2 linked regions of the Drosophila melanogaster genome follow. The protein of the gene in region 1 interacts with the protein of each later gene in a pairwise test. Each region holds a gene or a part of one and is shown on either strand. Other genes may lie near its edges.

Region 1 (6,882 bases):
TTTACCTACGATAATGCGTTACGAACGACTTCTGTTGTGCCCCCGAGCCTGAAAAGTTTGGAGATCAGTTTTGTGACTGGTCTAAGGCAAAAATAATATAAAACTTGAATACTAATAAAACAAAATATACCGAAACATTTGTTTTTTGTTGTTGTATAAGTAAAAGCATTCCAGAGAGTTAATTTAGAATTTTAAATGTTTTATTTATTAACATTAATCAAACAGCGCATAAACGCTCACGTGCATAGACCAACTTTTTCGAGACCAATTTCTTATTAGTCGAAGCAGTGGTGCTGAAAATATAATTATAATTTTGATAATATCAGTTACCGTTCATTGAGATTATATCGAAAATAAATAGCTTGGATTCTTAATACTAGCAATTAAAGAGTAGCCTACAGCTAAAAGTCCGTAATCAGAATTAGGCGGTGTCTATGGGTAAACTATACGAATACTCTAATTAATCTCTTGAATATCTGAATCCGTCTGCCACTGGAAGTACACAGGTGTTGTGGAAGTGGATTAGGTTATTTCGACTTGGGTCATAAAAACGGGCTAGCTTAGTGGCAAAACGTAATCTATGTTCGATTCGCAGAACTATTAAAATAAAAAACGAACACGGAATTTAAAAGTGAAATATACTTTCATGGTTTCAGTAAAAGACACTGCATAATACAATATGCAAATCGAATACACTCGCATTTTAAAATAAAATAAAAAAAAAACGGACGTGCATGATGGAAAGATTACATTTTGCCACTAGGATCCTAATTTAAATAAATCGAAAATTAATACTAGCCGAGCAGATACTGATCTTCGAATTCCACGTCGCCATCATCGTCCAAAAGATGTGGCGGCAGCGGCATATACGGTCCTGAGTCCTGACCAGTAGGGTTTTCACCATCATTGGTCTGCTCCGTGCCCTCCTCCTGCTCCTTCTCGTCCTGGATTATCTGCTCGATTAGTGATATCATCTCGGCATCCCCCAGGCCTGGATGGTGTTTACGAATGTGCTGTTGCAGCTCGCGGAGGCTGTGCAACTCACCCACCGCATCAGCACCGTCCGCACTGCTCTGCTTGCATAGTTTGCAACGGATGTAGGCCGCGTGGGGCAGGTGCTGGAATCGATGGAACTGTAGCACCCACTGTCGATTCGTCTCCAGTTCCTCATCACAGTCCTGGCAGCGGTAGACGTCTTCACCCACCTTTGTCATGTGCAAAAGTTCCAACTTGGTCAAGCCATGGTGGTCGTTGATGTGCTCCCGCCATTCCTTTTTATTGTGAGTTTTGAAATTGTCACCGCATTGCGGACACGTTAGATGGTAAATGGTGCTCAATAGCGTATCCTGGTCGGGTTCATCGTCATCGAATTCCCGGTGCGGACGATTGTCACACCGGTTAGTGTCGCGGTTCAAATGCTTGAAGAACATTTGTTTTCGCACAAACTCACCGCCGCAAGTCAAGCACTTGAAGGATCTATGGGGCAGGTGGCGGAACTTATGCGACTGTAGCTGCCCGATGGCGCCCTTGGTGTGCGTCACGGTCACCCGTTTGTAGCACTCCAGGCACAGGTAGTGATGGTTGTCGATCTGCCGAAAGTTGAGGCCCTCACGGCTGTTAAAGTTGTGCTGCTCCACAATATGTTTGCGCCAGAAAGCATGAGAGTCAAAGTTTTGATTGCACTTGGGACAAAAATACGTGATGAAGTCCAGGTCCACGGCATTGTGGTACGAGATACTGTCCTCCAGCGTGTTGAGACCAGCGGGTCGGGCTGGCAATCCACCAGGCTGTGGTTTTAAGGAACGACTACTTGCACTGGCTGCAGCAGAAGAGGAACATGCAGGTGGTGAGGGCGGTGCTGGTGCCAGTGCTGGAGCCGGTGGAGGAGAGGGCAATTTGGGGTTCTCCCTACTGTTATCCTTATAACGGCCGAGGACTTGTTTCGGTTTTGTAATCATCGTCGGTGTCTCCCTATCAAAAATGCTATGACGGGCTCTCAAATGCGCAGCTATATTCGGCTTATGATTGTAGCAGGTGCCGCAGATCAGGCACTTGAGGTACAGTCTGTAGGGCAGATGTCGGAAGTGATGATCCTGCAAGCCCTTCAGCTTCGAATTGCATACAATGTCCTTGCACTGGGTGCATTGGTAGCGATACTTATCCAACTGACGCATGTTTAGATATTGGCGCTTGTCAAAATTGTGCACCTCATTGATGTGACGGCGCCACTCGAACTGAGTCTTGTACTCAAATCCGCAGGATGGGCACAAGAAGATGTAATTTTGTTCTACGGTGGGCACGGATGGATCTGCAGAGCTCATCACTGGCTGTCGACGCCTTCTCACCACTGTCTTCCTGCACCGCTTTTCGCTAATATGAACACGGACGGCCGCCTGGGTGGCGAAGAGTGTGCCACAGTGGACGCACTTGTAGCGTTGATGATTTCCTTGAGTTGTTGGCTGTGGCGGCGGTGGTGGTGATGGTGGTGGCGGTGCAATTGGATATTCATCCTCTTCTGCCTGCATCTGTTCACCAAAGTCGTTATCCTCCTCCATGCCGCCTTGATCCACGTCGTCCAGATAGATTATCTCGTACGTTTCATTGGCTACCGTCACTATCTGTTTGCGTGGCTGCTTGGCGGGTGTGAGAATTGGAGCTGGGCATCCTCCCGAAAGCTTTCGTGGCCAACCAACCCGATGATGGGTGGCCAGATGCTTTACGAGACCCTTCCTGTCCGTGTAGGACTTGTGGCACTTGCGGCACCTGGCGTAGGCCTTGAATGGAAGATGCGTGATCCTGTGTTGCTGGGCATTCTGGATTCCATACGCATTGGTTATGATCTTGTCACACTCAGTGCACTTAAGCTGCCGTTCGTTTATCATCTCAAAATTAAGCTTGCTCAGATCGTTCATGCTGTGCGCCATGACCACGTGGGTGCGCCAGTGCTTCTTCTCGATGAATTCTTTGCCGCACTGCGGACAGAGGTAGTCGATGTGAGGCTCGAAAATGTCGTCGCTGCTGATGCGACCGCCGCGTCTGGGTGCGTCTTCAAAGTAGGGCGAGTCCTCGTCCAAAGGGGCGCCATTTCCCTCGCCGTTTCCATTGTCCCCGTCGCATTCATCCTCTATGGCCGAGGGAGCGTCACCATCCTCCTCCTCTGCGTCCTCCGACATAAGCGTATCCATATGATGCTGCTGCAGCAGATGTCTGATTATTTCCTGATGATCCGTGTAACCCTTGTAGCAGAGTTTACAGCGCAGCCACTCAGGCTGCGACAAATGGCTGAATTTGTGGGCGCGAAGTGATTTAATGGTATTGGGAGTCACAATCTGAGATAATAAAAAATAATTGATTCAGCAAAGTTTGGTTTATAAATCGAAACTCACCTTTTTGCACTCGAGGCACTGCATTTGCATGTCCACGCTTCGGAAATTAAGTCCCCTTCGGCTGACGTAGTCGTGGACGAACTCGATGTGCTGGCTCCATTGGGCGTGGGTGTCGCAGTCGGTGCCGCAGTCTGGACACATGTAGTGTATGTAATCCTCGCACAGTTCGGCTGCTCCTCGAGTACCAGCCTTTTTCTTGGAAACCTCTTCAGACACGGTCTGCTCCTGGGTGCCAGACTCATCGGCATCCGGTTCGAGCAGCTCATTCCGAACCTCTATGCGATCAGATTCCTCCCCAAGGTCATCATTCTCTCGGAAGCTCTTCTCCCGCAGCAGCTGCTCGGTGCGAGACTCTCGAACCCGTGTCTTCCGCCCCGCCGCATTGTAACCCTCCCGCATCATGGCCACGACTTCATCGCAATGGACCATGCGAAGATGAACCATAAGATCTTGCCTTTAAAAGACATTACTATTAAGGAAGGGCTGAATAGGATACTCATTACCGTACCTGTATTTGTACTCCCGTTTGCAGATGTAGCACTTGGTGCACCTGAAGGGCAGGTGCGTGAACTTATGCTTAAGCAGGTTTTCCCGGCTGTGCATGGCAATCCGCTTGTTGCACTCCCTGCACCGCTGATAGAGCTTGTCCAGCGGCGTAAAGTTCAAGCCACGTAGAGTGTTGTATTTGTGAATGTGGTTCATGTGCCGCTTCCAGTGGTCCTGTTGCCGGAATTCACCACCGCAGGCGGGGCAGATGTAGACTACGCCCAACTCATAGTTAATTGGCACTCCGTTCTCGTCCGTTGCATTGATCTGCGAGGTGGTGGGTCGTACAGACAGTCCGGAACCCAATCTGGGTCGACCCCCAGCTCCCGGGAATGAGTGTCGCTGCATTGGCGGACGCACTTGTTGGCTCATGGGTCCAGCAGGAGCCAACGATGGACGCTGTGGCTCCGCTATATCTACAATAGGTTCCATATTAAAATCAAAGAGCGCATCATCGTCGGGATCTGGTTGCTTTGGCTCCTTGGAGTTCTTTTCGTAATCATCCTCCTCCTCCCTCTCATCCTCTTCGGCATCCAGCAGGTCATCGATGGCATCGCCTGAATCAAGGATCGCCGTATCGCCTAGGAAGTCATCATTGCCATTCCCGTACTGCTCGCTGTCCTCCAGTTCCGCCACCCCGCTCTCCGCCTCACCCTCCTCGAAGTCGGACGAGAACATCGACGTCCACAGATCCATGCCCTCCATCTTTTGGCTGGGAAGAGGCTTTTCTGCGACAGCTCGCGTCGTCAGTGGCTCTTCAATGTGTGAGTGCGTATGCGTGAGAACTAGTTTTCGTATCCTATATGCCACAATTGGCAATAACGACGACGGCTGTCTGGTTTTTCACTTGGTAGAGCTCTTCTGAGGTGTTGCGCACACCAGGTTCCATCTTCACAGTCGGTGCAGCAGCACACACCTCACTGGGTCCTTTTGCATCTGCGTTTAGCCCACTGGGGCAGCGGAAAAATGGCCAAAACTAAAACTTATTGTAGTCTGCAAAAATCAGAGCCATTTTGTTTGCGGCGTCGCAGAGCTACGGGCCGCAAATAAACTGGAACGGCGTTGCACGGTGTTGCCAGACCAAGAAAGTGAACATCGATAACCCACAGCATGTCAATCGATAGCTTATCGACGATTTAAGCTTATGGGCGCGAAAAATTAAATGTTTCTTGAAAACTAGTTTTTAACTTCAGCTTAGGACCTCGGTCAAAAGGTTATTAACTCCAAACAATTTCCGTCCAGCCCGACCACTTTTCTAAATAAGGACAAAAAGGCATGTTATGTACGAAAGGTTTTTATTGAACAAATATTCGCGCTTGAATTTTGTATTTTTACACTTAATTAGCACGTGCACATTAGAAAGTGCTGTCGTACCGTTTAAATTACATATTTAATGTAATGTAATACAATGTTTATAATGTATGTATGTATGTGTTTTCGTGAGTGTTCGTGTGAATGCAGTTGGTATAAATATAAATATATGTGGCGTGTAGTAGCAACTAAAATAAAATCCATGTGTGATCAAAGGACTCCAACAGGCCGCCACCGCTCGCATCCTTGCTTCTCGCTTGCTTCACACGTAAGCACACACCGGGTTGATGAATATCATATATATAATATATCTGCAGTTGCAGAGGGCAGGCGATCGGGCGTCGTTTTGTGGGGCTACACGCGTTACATGGATTTACACCAACTAAGGAATTTAAATTACAGATTTGCAATGGGGTGGTGGTGGTGTTGGTAGTGATAGGTTTGGGTGCAACGCCGCCTTCTAAAATTGGTTGATTAATTCTCATCTGGGAAGCGTATCGTACTATTGCATCTGCAGATCGTTGAGCAATTGCTATTCTCTCGCTTAATTATTCGTTGGCCATCATGTCCTACTTTCGTGCCTTTCGATTTTCTGACCTGGATACGGGAGTGTAGGGTTTTATGCGTATATTAGATGGGTAGTATGATTTTTTTTGCTTGTTTTGTTGGTTTTTTTTTTTTCTTATAGTGTCTCGTCCCGCCATCGGCTCCTCAATTGCTTGTGCTGGGATCTGAGCAATTCCGGCTGTCATTACCACAGGCCCGACGAGTAGCCGCCTGGGGGAATGCGGTTCTTGTTGATCACCGGAGTGCCGCCATTGGACGACTCCTGGCGCTGGGAATACTCGTTGGCTACGACCTTGTAGCCCTCGCCTGTGACGGGGTTGCCCTCTGTGAAAACAAAGGAATATCATTAGAAAATTTGACTACTTAGAATGCAAACTAGGTGTATAAAATCAAATTGGTTTCTAAGAATCCGAAATTAAAGCGCAACTAATAAAAGTACTTGGGGATTGGCTATGTTCGTTTGGAGTTTGGAGTATGGAATTTCAGACGGAAGCGACAACCAGAACCAAACGCCCACCTCGGATCTTTAGCTTCTTGGGCTTGAGGCCGCCAACACCATCTCCGTTGAGGCCGAGGCCCGTGATCGGATTGCGTGAATCGAGTTTGGAGCACGCCTGCTGCTCCTCCTTAATCTCGTTTGGACAGAGCCCAAGGGGCTCCTTTACATTGCTCACGCCTGCCATCTTGTTCAGCGAGTATGGCTGTTCGGGATTATTTCCAGAGTCTCGCCGAGTTTGACAGCCCTCGTTCACCTGATCGGACTTTGTGACTGTGCTGTTATCTGCCGGCACGTCTCCAACTTCGCTATCTCGGCACGAGTTATCAATGGATAGGGCGTCGTCAGCCGGTGGAATTGGCGTTTCGGTTCGAGCCGGTTCTGGGGGACACAAGGATACGCGTGGGGATGTTTCTTTGGTGTCTGGTCTTGCTGTTGGAAGAAGGAGCGGGGAGGCAGGCGAATCGGGGATGAGGATGAGTCCTTAAAGGACACTGGACACTACAAGTACTCACTGCTCATATTGCGGAAGACTGACGCGATACGATTCAACAGACACAATTGGTTATTGTTCGT
Region 2 (4,900 bases), on another chromosome or scaffold:
CCAGCCCGTGCAAAAAAAACTGCGGCAGAAATAAAGCTCATTAAGTAATGAAATAATATAGTATTATAATGCCAGACGACGGGCAATTGTCAAACATATTCGTGTTTGTGTATACAAGGCACCCAATTATAAAGAAATAACATCCAAGTATGAGGGGGCGCCTGATTGGTCGGCCCACATCATCATCTGTCTATATATAAAGCAGGTGACCTTTCCTCCAGAAAAGCGTGTGGGTGGCGTTTTCTGCTTTTCCGCCCAGGGGGGGTTTCTCTCAATTACAGATCTTCGCAAAAATAGCCAGAAACCAAAACAAAGGAGAGTCGAACCGCAACATCAAAGCGAAATGGTACTGCATTTGCATTTGGGGTGAATTTATCAACAAACAGCCATACAGCTGAGGTCACAATATTGATAGATTAAAAGTGAAAATACATCTAAGGAAATGGATCAATATTTAAATGATGAAACATGACTCTGAGATAGTAAAATAGTATTCCGTTTGAGATATTCGATTTATAGGTAAAAGTATTGCAATTTGTATCGATGTAAAAACAGTTCTTTGAGAATTTCCTAGTTCTTGGCGGCAATAGATTAGGTGTCCGAAATAAGCAATACATTTCGCTTGTCTTGAAAAATGAAAAGGCATTTATTTTGACCGCAATTGTAGACACAAATCTCTATTTTTAAATCGACGACCCCTGGCACGAGTTTTGTGAATTGCAGCAACAGAAGCAGCGGCAAAAAAAAAACAACGCAAAACAAAATTGAAAACGCCAAGGGAAAAAAACGACTGAAACTAAACACCAGTCTCTCCCCCTTCCCTCTGTCATCCCTGAATGACTGACTGACTAAATGACTGACTGGCTAAATGACTCTGACTGACTGTCAGTTACATGCGACTGCATCCGACGCAGTCAACTTGACAACATTTGCTGCTCCCTCGGTGCACATAAAAAAAAATGAAGGGAATTATGATCAAATTTAATTGCATCGGCCTACTAACACAGGTCCATCAAGATTTTACATCGTTTGTGTTTATGAGAAATAATAGAACAGGCATTACTTGGCATTCGATATTCTATCCCTAATGTCTCCTTTTCGCTATATTACAACATAACGAATATCAACCGATGCCACATCCTGTTGCAATTTTTAATTTCAAAAACCATAATTCATATCCGAATAAAACTTTTATTTAACGTGTATATGTACATATGTATCTGTCTCTACTGCAGAGCAGCTGTCCCGCTCTTTCGGCTATTATCAAACCACATCCGTTGGGCAGCAGCAGAGATGATGTGCAAACAATACAAAAACATATCAACCTAAGCTAAAGTTTGAGCCACTGAGCATAGCTCCCCACGTAAATTATTTTTTTTATGCATTCCCCCATCATTCGCCAGTGGGTAAAGGAAGTGGGGGGCGGAGCTTTTGTTTTGCATACAATGGGAGCTGATAAATGATTTCTAGGGGCACTCCGCATAAATGGATGATAAAGAAACGAAAATATAACTGGGACTGCAACTGAAATGATCTCAAACTGATTCACCTTTAAATTCATAGCTTTAATTCGTTATCTTTCACCTGCGAAACAAATTATATACATCACTTAAGAATACCCTACACCATTTGTTCCCAAGCATAAGTATACCAATTTTGAATGCTTTTTAATTAGCATATAAATTCTCGAAACTCCCAAAACAAAGCTTCTCCAAGCTTGGCAGTTCCCATATGATTCATTTATAACTTGTAAAAAATTCCCGACTTTTATCGATTCCTATTCCTTCCCCACCAAAAGAAGGTGTTTTATTTCTGGACTCCACTTAGGCGTAAAGTTTCCATACCATTGCATTTTTGCCCATAATCATTGTTGACATTTCCTTGTGAATCGACACCAAGACACTACAGTAATCCCTCTCCACACAAAACCAGATCAAGTACACAGCAACTAGTTTTCAGGGTTGAAAATTCTCGGACAAAAAAAGGTGCGCATTATCGATAATTATCCATGTCGTTGATTTAAGGGCGAGGGTCAATAGTAATAAAATTCAAGCCATTAATGTTTTTATCTTATCAGGAGTTTGTTACCGATGTATTGCTTATTGCAGAAATATGATGTACTTGTTTTAAATATATTGTTAAAAAAAAACATTTCAATGTATCAACGTTCGAGTGACCACTGTAAGGGCAGGATAAGAACCAATAGATCTAAAGTGCGCTCCTTTCTAATCCGGCCTGATGGATTGCGTTGTTTTTTTTTACCATTTGAGATTGGCTTTTGTTCCTTGAGAAATGTTGCTGAGATTTCCACGGATGCACTGCTTGGGTTTTCCTATCCGTTATCCTCTTCTCGTCGGTTCGCTTTAATTTACACGTCTCCTTTAATGGCTTCTGGTGTTTTATTTTTACACCCAAGTGCAGTTCAATGGGTGGTGGGGGTGTTGTATAAGTAAAAGGCAAGTAAAATCGATATTCCTGCTGCTCTTTTTTTGTACTGGGCTTCTGTGTTCTGGCCGCTATACCGTTGTTCAGCTTCCTGGGAACGATGAGTCAACGGGACATAGAGAAACACACCCAGTAGCAGTAGAGGTGGGGGGGTTAATATTGGTATTTGTTCTCCGGTTAGTGGTAAGTGGTGAATCCTTGGTCCGCGAAGAAGGGTTCGTTGCACTACGTCTATGCGTCTGCCTGGCAATCTCCTCTTTGCTCTCGTGCTTTAGCACGTCTTCCCTACTATTTATTTGTTTTCACTTTTATCTCTTTTCCTTTTGCTAATGCTGCACTCGCACACACGTAAACGGCAATTTTCGGGATACCGCTTGCATTTTCATTCGCTTGGCTGAAAATCTCAACATGAGATATCCATGTTATTACAAAAACATTATACAAAATTCACATTCGGGGGTTTCTCTACTTGGAAAAGGGGAGCGTAGGGGGCGCAGAGCGTAAAACGCGCGCGAGACACACACACAAAGCTCTCGGTAGAGAGACACGCGACGCAACCGCCGCCAACAACAGTCGAAGACGAACTCTGCCCGCTTAGAACAAACGACCGCCCGAAACCCCATCGTCTGTATCCAACTCTCGCTTACTCTCTCCCACACGCTCTCTCTGTCGGGGATCCACTCTCTGTCATTAAGAACGCAAGCATTTTCGGGGGATGTTCTTACTCGACGGATGTAACTGTAGCATCCCCGTTCTCTCAATTGCACTCTCTCGTTCGCTTTTCTCAGGTACTCAAGTTTTCGACCGTGGGAACTTCTAGCAAAACACCCACTATGGTTTTACACCTTGCGTGAAGGTATATTGGTTGCATCGAACAAGTTCAAAAACACAGTTAACATTAACAATGCATTCCAATATTGGTTCCGAATTTAAAACACCTACATATTCTCACAATTTATAGTCAATAAACTTAAAATAGAACTTTTTCCAGATAAACTGTCAATTTACCATTGAATTGGTAATTGATTTTATTTCTTTTGCACTATGGTAACTTGGCCTTTTAAATCAATTTAAACAAATTTCTTTAAAACTTCTTCCTAGTGACTGTTGACACGCTAAATATAAATAAATAAGTTTCTTAAAATAAATACACGGTATATATATGTCGTATCAGAACAAACATAAAAATCTTACTTGCTCTGGCCATTCGCGCTCTGTTTATGTTTTTTCTGATGAGCAATTGACTGTTGGCTTGTTTGTTTCTAATCAGAACTCTCTCTCAACTCTCTCTGTCAATTTTAGTATTTTTTGGTATATATTTACACTGACCCCCACAATAGCATTTGTCTTCATTATAGCTTCACATTTATCAATGGAATTTATGGGCCTCCTAAACCTGTAGGATTTTATTCCAAATTTTTGATTAATGCCAACAAAGAAATTTAAATAATTTTCTTCCATGTTTTGTTTGGCTTTTTAGGCTATCATTTGACCAACCGTTCAAACATGTGAACTGGAATGACATAATTATGGAAATGGGAATACCTGAGTGTTGTCTGGTATTTGGTAACGATTTAAAGAAAGCTGGCGGGGAAATCAATAAGCAGAAATATTAATAAAACGTGCATTTACGTAAGCGCCAATCAAACGATGCCTGCTGTTTTGTTTGTTGCTTGTAGACATTGGATAAATATTCGAGACCATGAGCACGTCAATTGATCAATTAGCGAATGCAACAAGTTTCAATACAAAAAAAGGCACTGATATTTGTTATGCACTTGGTGATGCTGATAACGAATTTTATATAAAGCTAGAAAAAGAGATCAATTAAAGATTGACCCTCAATGTGCTTCATGATGTTGGTGTCAAAATAATACGGTTTAAAGCTATAGTAAATTTATTTAAAATTATTGCTGTTCTCCCTATCAGAAAGTATGGAGAATAATATTTTAAAACGTAAACGTCATAATATATATTTAGATGAAAAATGTTGTGCTCCAAAACTTTAGTCATACGAAAAAACCGCTCTTGTGTTGTGATCGTGATAATAAATATCACAAAAATTATAAATTAAATTATAAATTATAAATTTCTTTAATTCGATTTTTCGGCACCACTCTAATCAAAATGTTGCAACATATTTTTCATTAACTTAGTCTACGGACTATTTGACCAAATAATTAGCAGACCTGGGCAAAAAGCCTCCACACAAAGTTCGGTGCTCTGCGAGATACTTTCAAAATGACTTTCTATGCATTTCCCTGTTACTTTCTACGCTTGCTATATACTAGAGTACATGAACAAGATAATGGTTTAGCTACTCACCAAACTGTCGGCCACATTTTGACTCATTATAGTCTGCAGCGTTGACGATGGCCAGATGCTGCAATTACTTCAAGGTGCGTGCTGCTCAAAATCTGGTGCGATGCAATTTCCGATGGTGGTGTTGTAGATG

What was found. Proteins that work in one complex are often made in the same cells at the same time.
Region 2: the proteins of CG6791 (region 1) and Rgl interact in a two-hybrid assay, tested with the Drosophila melanogaster proteins (one large-scale study listed by BioGRID).

Annotation. Positions count from the first base shown.
Region 1 is NT_033777.3:11,585,174-11,592,055, forward strand, and holds CG6791 (uncharacterized protein), read right to left. Parts: upstream 4,974-6,882; 5' UTR 4,638-4,973; coding exon 3,895-4,637; intron 3,841-3,894; coding exon 3,387-3,840; intron 3,330-3,386; coding exon 795-3,329; 3' UTR 525-794; downstream 1-524. Other genes in the region: jupiter, read right to left, coding at 5,995-6,134.
Region 2 is NT_037436.4:13,916,929-13,921,828, forward strand, and holds the start of Rgl (Ral guanine nucleotide dissociation stimulator-like), read right to left. Parts: upstream 3,038-4,900; 5' UTR 2,266-3,037; coding exon 2,263-2,265; intron 1-2,262.